Linked DNA regions of Sus scrofa. The protein of the gene in region 2 interacts with the protein of the main gene of each other region in a pairwise test. Links are inferred from orthologs where the notes say so. Each region holds a gene or a part of one and is shown on either strand. Other genes may lie near its edges.

Evidence for each region. The genes of interacting proteins can lie anywhere in the genome.
Region 1: the proteins of TMEM79 (region 2) and CLEC7A interact in binary tests that used the Homo sapiens proteins (3 or more experiments, as listed by UniProt). The two-hybrid records come from large-scale screens. The link is inferred for Sus scrofa from reciprocal best matches to the Homo sapiens genes TMEM79 and CLEC7A.

The regions. Positions count from the first base shown.
Region 1 is NC_010447.5:61,831,707-61,835,826, reverse strand, and holds the start of CLEC7A (C-type lectin domain family 7 member A), read right to left. Parts: upstream 2,801-4,120; coding exon 2,698-2,800; intron 510-2,697; coding exon of another isoform or gene 411-509; intron 1-410.
Region 2 is NC_010446.5:93,766,040-93,770,071, forward strand, and holds the start of TMEM79 (transmembrane protein 79), read right to left. Parts: upstream 2,802-4,032; 5' UTR 2,474-2,801; intron 1,424-2,473; 5' UTR 1,381-1,423; coding exon 621-1,380; intron 367-620; coding exon 153-366; intron 1-152.

The DNA of each region.
Region 1 (4,120 bases), on a different chromosome or scaffold from region 2:
ACAAAACACTTTCTTTAAATCATGAGATATAAAAATGTCTTATAGTCTTTTTAAAGAATTTATTTCATTAGGAAGATAAGCACTAATTGTACTTCCTTCTTCACCTCCGCTGGTTTCCTCTCATTCATTTACCCTAGGAATTCCACAGCTTTGAAACCAGCTATTCAAGAAGGTAGTAGATCACTGCAGTTAAAAGTATGAGTTTTTTAGACATACTGCCTAAACATCCAATCACGTTCCTACCATTAACTGGTTTATGATGCCAGGACTAAAATAAGAACTAATAGCACTAATTCAATAAGGTCAATATGCAGATTAAATAAGATTATGTTACACTCTTAAAAGAGTGCCTAGATCATTACACATTTTTAATTAAATATCTGCCATTGCTCATCTCCTCCAGTACTCACCCATGGTACCCAGGACCACAGCTATCACCAACATTAACAAGCATAAAATTCCCAAAGTCACAGTAATGGGTCGCCAATAAGGGGATGCAGCACAAGGTCCTGAGGAGCCAAAGAGAGCAGAAATTGAGTAAAGTAACTGGATAATGGATCATGGAACATTTCAGTTCTCTAGTTCATCAAAATCTGATCCCCGAAATATCTACTCATCTGGAATAATCTGAATTTTTCTCCCCTTTTAGCAATACCTCTTCATGTTTCTGAAACTGTAACTTGAGTGCAGTGCCTTGGTATTTGTGCACTCTAAATTTCAGCTCCACATTGATGTTTATATGTCTTACACTATCAGGATTCCTGAAAGCATACTCCTTCTTGAGACAGCTTCATGGAGCAGAAATAGCACTGGTTTCTAAGAGTAATCTTCCCCTTTCTCTTATTTGTTGCATGCTCTTGGGAAAATTATGCCCTCTGGTTTTTGTTTTTGTTTTTTTTCAATTCTCTTTGTGAAAAGTGAGGGTACTAATACATCAAAATGTTATTATGAAAATTAAATAAGTTAACACACATAAAGGCACCTAGACTACTAGCACAGTCTAGATAACCCACCGTTTAACCACACATACATGTAAACACACACATACCTCCCTATCTTTTGCATAGTTTTTCCACTCTCCCCCAACAGGTTGCCCAAGGAAAGAATTGCACAAGCGATGAGAGGAAAATAATTGTGCAATATGAATGAGCAGAAAGCAGAAGGGAGCAAATTCTGACGTCAAAACCTGTGAATAAACTCTCCCTTGATAACAAGAAATTCATTTTCTATTAATACCCCTACACCAAGATTGAGAATAGGCATTAAGAGCATTTCAGAGAATTTTCAAATAGGAGAATTACAGGGGAGATTAAATGGCTCATTCAATGAAGAGAGAGGTCTCTGCCGGCCTACACCACAGCCACAGAAACGTAGGATCTGAGCTGCCTCTGTGACCTACACCACAGCTTAGGGCAACGCCGGATCCTTAACCCACTGAGCGAAGCCAGGGATCAAACCCGCATCCTCGTGGATCCTAGTCAGGTTTGTTAACGCTAAGCCACAAAGGGAACTCCTAAAGAGACCAATGCCCTTGTCCAGGTTTCACTTCTTTTACATTTGGTTTAAGACTCGTGTCCTGATAATGGGATATTTTTATCTAACACATATATTTCTTCACTGACATACAAAAACTCCCTTTACAAAAAATAAAAAAAAAGAATATCAAATCAACCTCATTATCACACATACAAAAAATTCAGATTTGGGCTTCTAAGCCCTAAGACTTCTGACTTCTTTGGCCTTTTCCACAAAATCACAAGTTGTTTTTTCCATCTTTTCATTCTTCTCCTGATCTCCAGTATCTTGATGTTGTTCATATCCACTGCTTTGCCTTTCTTTTTTATTTTTGTCTTTTTTAGGGCCACACCCGAGGCATATGGAGGTTTCCAGGTTGGGGGTCAAATGGGAGCTGTAGCCACTAGCCCACACCACAGCCATAGCCACGCCAGATCTGAGCATCATCCGTGACCTACACCACAGCTCACGACAACACCTGATCTTTAACCCAGTGAACAAGGCCAGGGATCGAACCTGCGTCCTCATGGGTGCTAGTCAGATCTGTTTCTGCTGAGCCACGACAGGAATCCCTGCTTTACCTTTCCTTAAATCCCATGCTACAATTTACTCATTTCTATCAAGTAGGTCACTCCTGTCAAAATTCTTTCATCTTTGCATTTCACCTCACTTAGTACAACTTCTTACTTTGGAAGTGCCCATCTCTAGAGAATAGAGAAATTGTAGGTATTTTTCATCATCATAATAATTAACTTAAATAAATTTGACACTTGAACATCACTGGGGTTAAGGGCATCTACCCTCCCACAGTCGAAAAAATTCCTCTATAACTTATGGTGGACCCTCAGTATTTGACGTTCTCCATATCTACATTCAGCTTCCACAGATTCAGTCAACTTCAGATGGTGTAGCACTGTAGTATTTATGATTAAAAAACCTCCATATATAAGTGGACCTGTGCAGTTCAAACCCCTGTTGCTCAAGGGTCAACTGTACTAATGATTGGTCACTGAATGGTTGCTGAGAGAAAAGGCTTCGTGCACATTCAAAGAATCTTCAGCGATTTCTGAAAATCAACATATAGTAATAAAAGCCCAACAAATCACGTCTCGCCTCTCTTTTCCACTTCCAATTTCAGTTGATGAGATTGACAATGTTGAAATCAGAAAGAAAAAAAAATACCTTTCTCGGAGACCACAGATCTCCTGGTGAGGTTGTGAGAGCTGAAGTCTAACTGAGTGTATCCATCTTCATCCACATTTTCTAAAGGAGACTGGTATTCCATGGTTCAAGTGAGTTTCTAAACTGACACAGCATTTGCGAGCTCATCCCTCTCTTCTCCTAAGACAAGTGCCTCTAGACAAAAGAGGATCTAGGAGTCAAATCATGTGGGATTGGTTTACTAAGCATTAACAAGTAGTCCGACCAGCTACCCAAAAGCAGGAAATGAAAACTAGGCTGTGGTAACTTCCCATTGGTACCTTCAGATCCTGTTTCTGAGACTGATGTCACATAAAAAATGAAAAGGTAGCACACGAGATAGATCTTTGTTTCAGGCCAAATGTAAGACAAATGACACCATTCATGTCTTGGGCTGCTTTCATCAGTCTCACAACTGAATTGGACATCATCAGTTGACTTGGCCTAGGTAAACTTAAAATAATTTTGATACCTTGAATTCACCAATACTTTGCTAGACCTATACATTCATTCATTTACTCATGTACTCACGCTTCTAGTAAACACTTAGCAAATATCCATCTTTTCATCTGGCCAGAGCTGGGATTAGAAGAACAAAATGATTACCTGTGAAGAATCTCACTGACTAACAGAAGAACCCAGAGACAGTAGCTATAGGAAGGATGCCATTAGAAGGTACACTGTAACACATCTCTTTGGGATTTGTCAGGGTTGATAATACAAAGTAGTACATTATTTATTCAACAATGACTATGAGCTAAGTACTACCCATCTACATGTTCTCTCATACAATCTCAGTTTTCCAACAAGTCTGTGAGCTAGACACTACTGGTCCTATTTCTTTTAGTCCTATGTATTATTTTTCATATAATTTTCCATTATTATTTATACAAGATTTATACGCACCCATGGGTATATAGAAGTTCCCATGCTGGGGTCAAATTGGAGCTACACCTGCCAGCCTCCCCCACGGCCACAGCAACACAAAATCTGAGCCACGTCTGTGACCTGCATCATAGCTCATGGCAAAGCTGGATCCCAGACCACTGAGCAAGGCCAGGGATCAAACCTGCATCCTCATGGATATTGGTCAGATTCATTTCTGCTGTGCCACCACAGGAATTCCCACAAAACATTGAATATAGTTCCCTGTGTCATAGTGTAGGACCTTGTTGTTTAGTCCTATTTTCAAATGACAAAAATGAGACATAGAAATTTTATCCACTTGCTCAATTTTAAGAAACTACTAAAAATATTGCAAGGAATGAAACCAAAGTCTACTCTTACTGCTAAACCCATGACCTCTTCTGTTATGCTACCATTCCATACGCTTACATGGCAAGTAACAGCTTATAGAGAATTCTGGGACTGAATATTATATTAAATACTTGATGTTTCCTCTTTT
Region 2 (4,032 bases):
GAGGGAGAAAGTGGATTCACCTTTCCCACAAGCACATCTAGGCCGATCCAGAATCCAGAAAGCTCCCTGGGCCTGGACCTCCAGACATTCAGAGGCCTGGGTCCCTCTAGCCCCACTACCTCCCTGGTCCCGCACCCCCAGCCCCAACTCACCGGGAGATGGCAAAGAGACCAGTGAGCAGAGGGAGCAGTTTGAGGGTGTCCTGGGGCAGGTAGGTGGAAAGCACCGCCAGGTTGAAGAAGTAAAGGATGAAGAGCTGGACCGACTGGGCCACATATCGCCGGTGGATCTCCACCTCCCGCCGTGGCTCCCCAAAGGGCCGCAGGGCAGAAAAGCACAACAGGCTCAGCCCGTACACCAGGATCCCTGGGTGGGGTTAGAGAACACAGGGTCAGAAGAGGAGCAGCAGGCAGGAAGCTGGAGGCAGGGTCCATAGTGGAGAGCTCAGGGGCATGGGCTCTACACTGTGGGGCAGAGGTGGGCACACAGGGTAGCGGGGGGGCCCCCCCGAGGGTCCAGGTCTCACAAGGGGAAACTCTCCTGCTCTCCAAGCCAGGAAGGCCCTGCCCTCCAGTCCAGCTCCCAGATGCCCCCTCCCTTTTCACAGGACCCAGGCTCACCCAGAACAATGGGGAAGGTGGCAAAGACCCCGCAGCGCAGCGTGTAGACGAGGCGGGAACTCATGGTCGGCAGGCGCGGGGCGTCGAAGGGCAGGAAGGCATACGCCCCGTAGAGCAGGCAGGGGAAGAGGATGAAAGCAGCTCCTACGGAGGCCACAGCCCTGAGCCCCTCATGGCCTCCGCAGCCCTCGCAGCCCCCACAGGAGCGGCCAGGCGGCCTCACCACTGCCTCAGCCCACTTGCGCTCAGGGGGCTCAGCGGGGGCGGCCCGGGTGGGCAGGAAGGTCCGGCGGCGTTCGCCCTCGCTCGCCTCACAGCGCACAGCAAGGTCCTCCTGTGGCCGCCGCTCAATGCACTGCAAGTCGATGGGCACGAAGGCTCGGGCCGCCTTCTCAGGCAGCAGGCAAGCGTCATCTTCGGGCAACTCCTCCAGCTTGGTGGCTGGCTCTGACTCGAGGGGCTCAGGCTCAATGTCTCTCCAGCCTGGGGGATCTGGGAACGGGGCACTGGGCTGGGGGCCAGCCCCCCAGGGCAAGGTGGCAGCCTCACTTACTGTGCTATCTAGCCCATCCTCAGTCCCCTGTCCGGCTGTGGGAGACCCAGCTGAAGACCCCACTCTGGAGGACTCGGCTCTGGGAGACTCAGCTCCACCCTCCCCCTCTGTCTTCTCGCCATTGGGGACCAAGGCCTGGGGTGGGCTTTTCTCCAGGGCTGCAGGCCCCTTCACCTCCAGCAGGGCCATGGCCTCGGGTTCCGTCATCCTGGGGCCTCACTTCTGGGGTCTACCGTAAGGTCGTGTCACCCTGGAAGGAGCAGAGGGAAGCTCTGTCAGAAGCTGCTGCTCTTGGAGTTCCTGTAGTGGCTCAGTGGAAATGAATCCAACTAGTAACCATGAGGTTTCGAGTTCAATCCCCGACCTTGCTCAGTGGGTTAAGAATCTGGCGTTGCCACGAGCTGTGGTATAGGTTGCAGACGTGGCTTGGATCTGGCCTTGCTGTGGCTGTGCCATAGGCCAGCAGCTATAGCTCCGATTCCACCCCCAGCCTGGGAACCTCCACATGCCCCGTGTGCGGACCTAAAATAAAAAGGCCAAAAAAAAAAAAAAAAAAAAAAAAAAAGCTGCTGTTTTCTGGGTTGATAGAACCGAAGCTCAGCTGGTCTTACGGTGGGCTTTAGCCCCATCTGGGACCTTAGGGAGAACATGGTCCTTGTGTTGAAATAGAGTGAGGCAGGAGGGAAGTGAGCAGCTGAAATGGAGACACCCTTTCGACATCAAATGCTATTCACCAGGAGAGGGTGAGTCAGGGGGCACAGGCCCTGGCAGCTGTGGCCTCGCCTCCACCCACATCTCCTGCCCCTCTCCACCAAAACCCCTGGGGTCATGGCCACCCAAATGCAGGAATGAGAGGAAAAGGAGGTGTCTAGAAATTTGCCAAGGGCTTTCTTCTTGCTAAAGACCTTCTCGTGGACAGAGAAGCTTCCCTTTCACTTCCAAACCTTGCCTTCCCCTGAAGACCCCGGACTGGAACTCTCCTGGCAACTTATACCAACGATTTGCCAACAAATCTGTCCCAAGGAGCTGGCAGTAGCAGGGGACCCTGTTCTTTCGTCTCCAATCTGGATACTTGGTCGGTTTTCAAACTTCTCACCAACCCACTCCACATCTGAAGGGCCTGGGTCTGTCCATTTTGACCTCTAGGTCTAATCAAAGCTGTTTCCCATGCCTCCTCTCCTGTCTTTCTCCCCTCCCTGCCGTCCTCCATCTCACTGCTTCTGGATGAGGCTAACTTCCCTCCCTTCACTGCTCAAGGACCTCCGATCCCTTAATGTTTGGACCCGTGACACCCACTTACTTTCCATCTGGAGAGAGGTAGAGGGTCCCCAGCGTCCGGGAAGGAGCTGCCTAGCTCGCTGCTGGCTCTGCAAGTATTTCTCTCCGTCTCCCTCCCTTTACCTGGGTCTCCAAACCTGTCTGACCAGAGCAGGTGGGGCCCAGATTAAAGGGCAGGCCCCGCCCTGCTGAATCTGCCGACAGAAAAAGCCTTAGAGAAGGACGTCATGCTCTCTGAAAGTGGGGGTGCAGCTGAGCCTAGAGGTAAGTGTGTTCTAGGAACATGGGTTTTGTAGGAACTCCCAGCACAGGAAAGCAAAGGGGGAAGAATGGGTTTGTGCATCAGAAGGTGCTTGGGGAGTTCCTGTCATGGCTCAGTGGTTAATGAACCCTACTAGTATCCATGAGGATGCAGGTTCGATCCCTGGCCTTGCTCAGTGGGTTAAGGATCTGGCATTGCTGTGAGCAGTGGTGTAGGTCACAGACGCAGCTCGGATCCTGCTTTGCTGTGGCTGTGGTGTAGGATGACAGCTACAGCTCCAATTGGACCCTGGCCTGGGAACCTCCATATGCTGCGGTGTGGCCCTAAAAAGACAAAAGACCAAAAAAAAAAAAAGGATGTTGGAGTAGGTTGGAAAACACCCAAAAGAGAGGTGGAATTTCTACACTTATTCATTCAATATTTATTGAGCACCTGTTATTAGTTAGGCACTATTCTGGGCATAGACATAGGAAAGAACGAGATGACAGGCAAAGTCTCTGGACTTAAGGGGCTTGTTCTGTTGGGGTAGCAGATAATAAAGAAGCCTAGAAAATAAATCAATAAGACAATTTCAATAGGAAAATTTCTTTGCCAAAGTGATATTTGAGTTGAGACCTGCTGGGAATCAGGAGAATGGGTGTTTCAGGCAGAGGAACAACAAGTGAAAGGCCAATAAAAAGGAAAGACAGGTTGTTTCAGGAACATCTCCCTAAGCACCTTGCTTTTTAGGTTAGGTTTAAGGTTACAAAAACCGTGGCACAGTGGTTTAAGAACGTGACTGCAGTGGTTCTGGTCACATAGATCACAGCCATGGCTTGGATTGAATCTGTAGCCTGGAAACTTCCTTATGCTGAGAGTGTGGCCATTAAAAAAAAGACAGCAATAGGAATCCACAGTGATCTTTCCTATGGGAGGACCAGGGGGCAGAAATGTAAGGGTGTAACTTCTCATTCCTGTGGATCTTTTCCCCTTAAGTCATTAGAGCTTCGTAAGGGGAGGGACAATGTCTGAATTGCTCATCTCTGTGACTCCAAAATCCAGCACTGTGGCTGGAAGACAGCAGATGTTCAATAAATGTTTACTGGAACAGTAAGTGAGGAACATGCAAGTGGAAATCTTTGGGTTGGGGTCGGAAGCTGAAGGGCTGAGGTGTCTGTGTAAGAGTCTTATCTTGGAAGGCCTTGTCATACTCGGTTCTTTCCAAAAAAAATTTCACATACAAGTTTTTTGCTTGTTTAAATAATGGGGGAAAAGAGAGAATTAGAATCACTGTAACTAGTAACCTGAAAGAGGCTCGACTCAAATGGGGGCGACAGAAA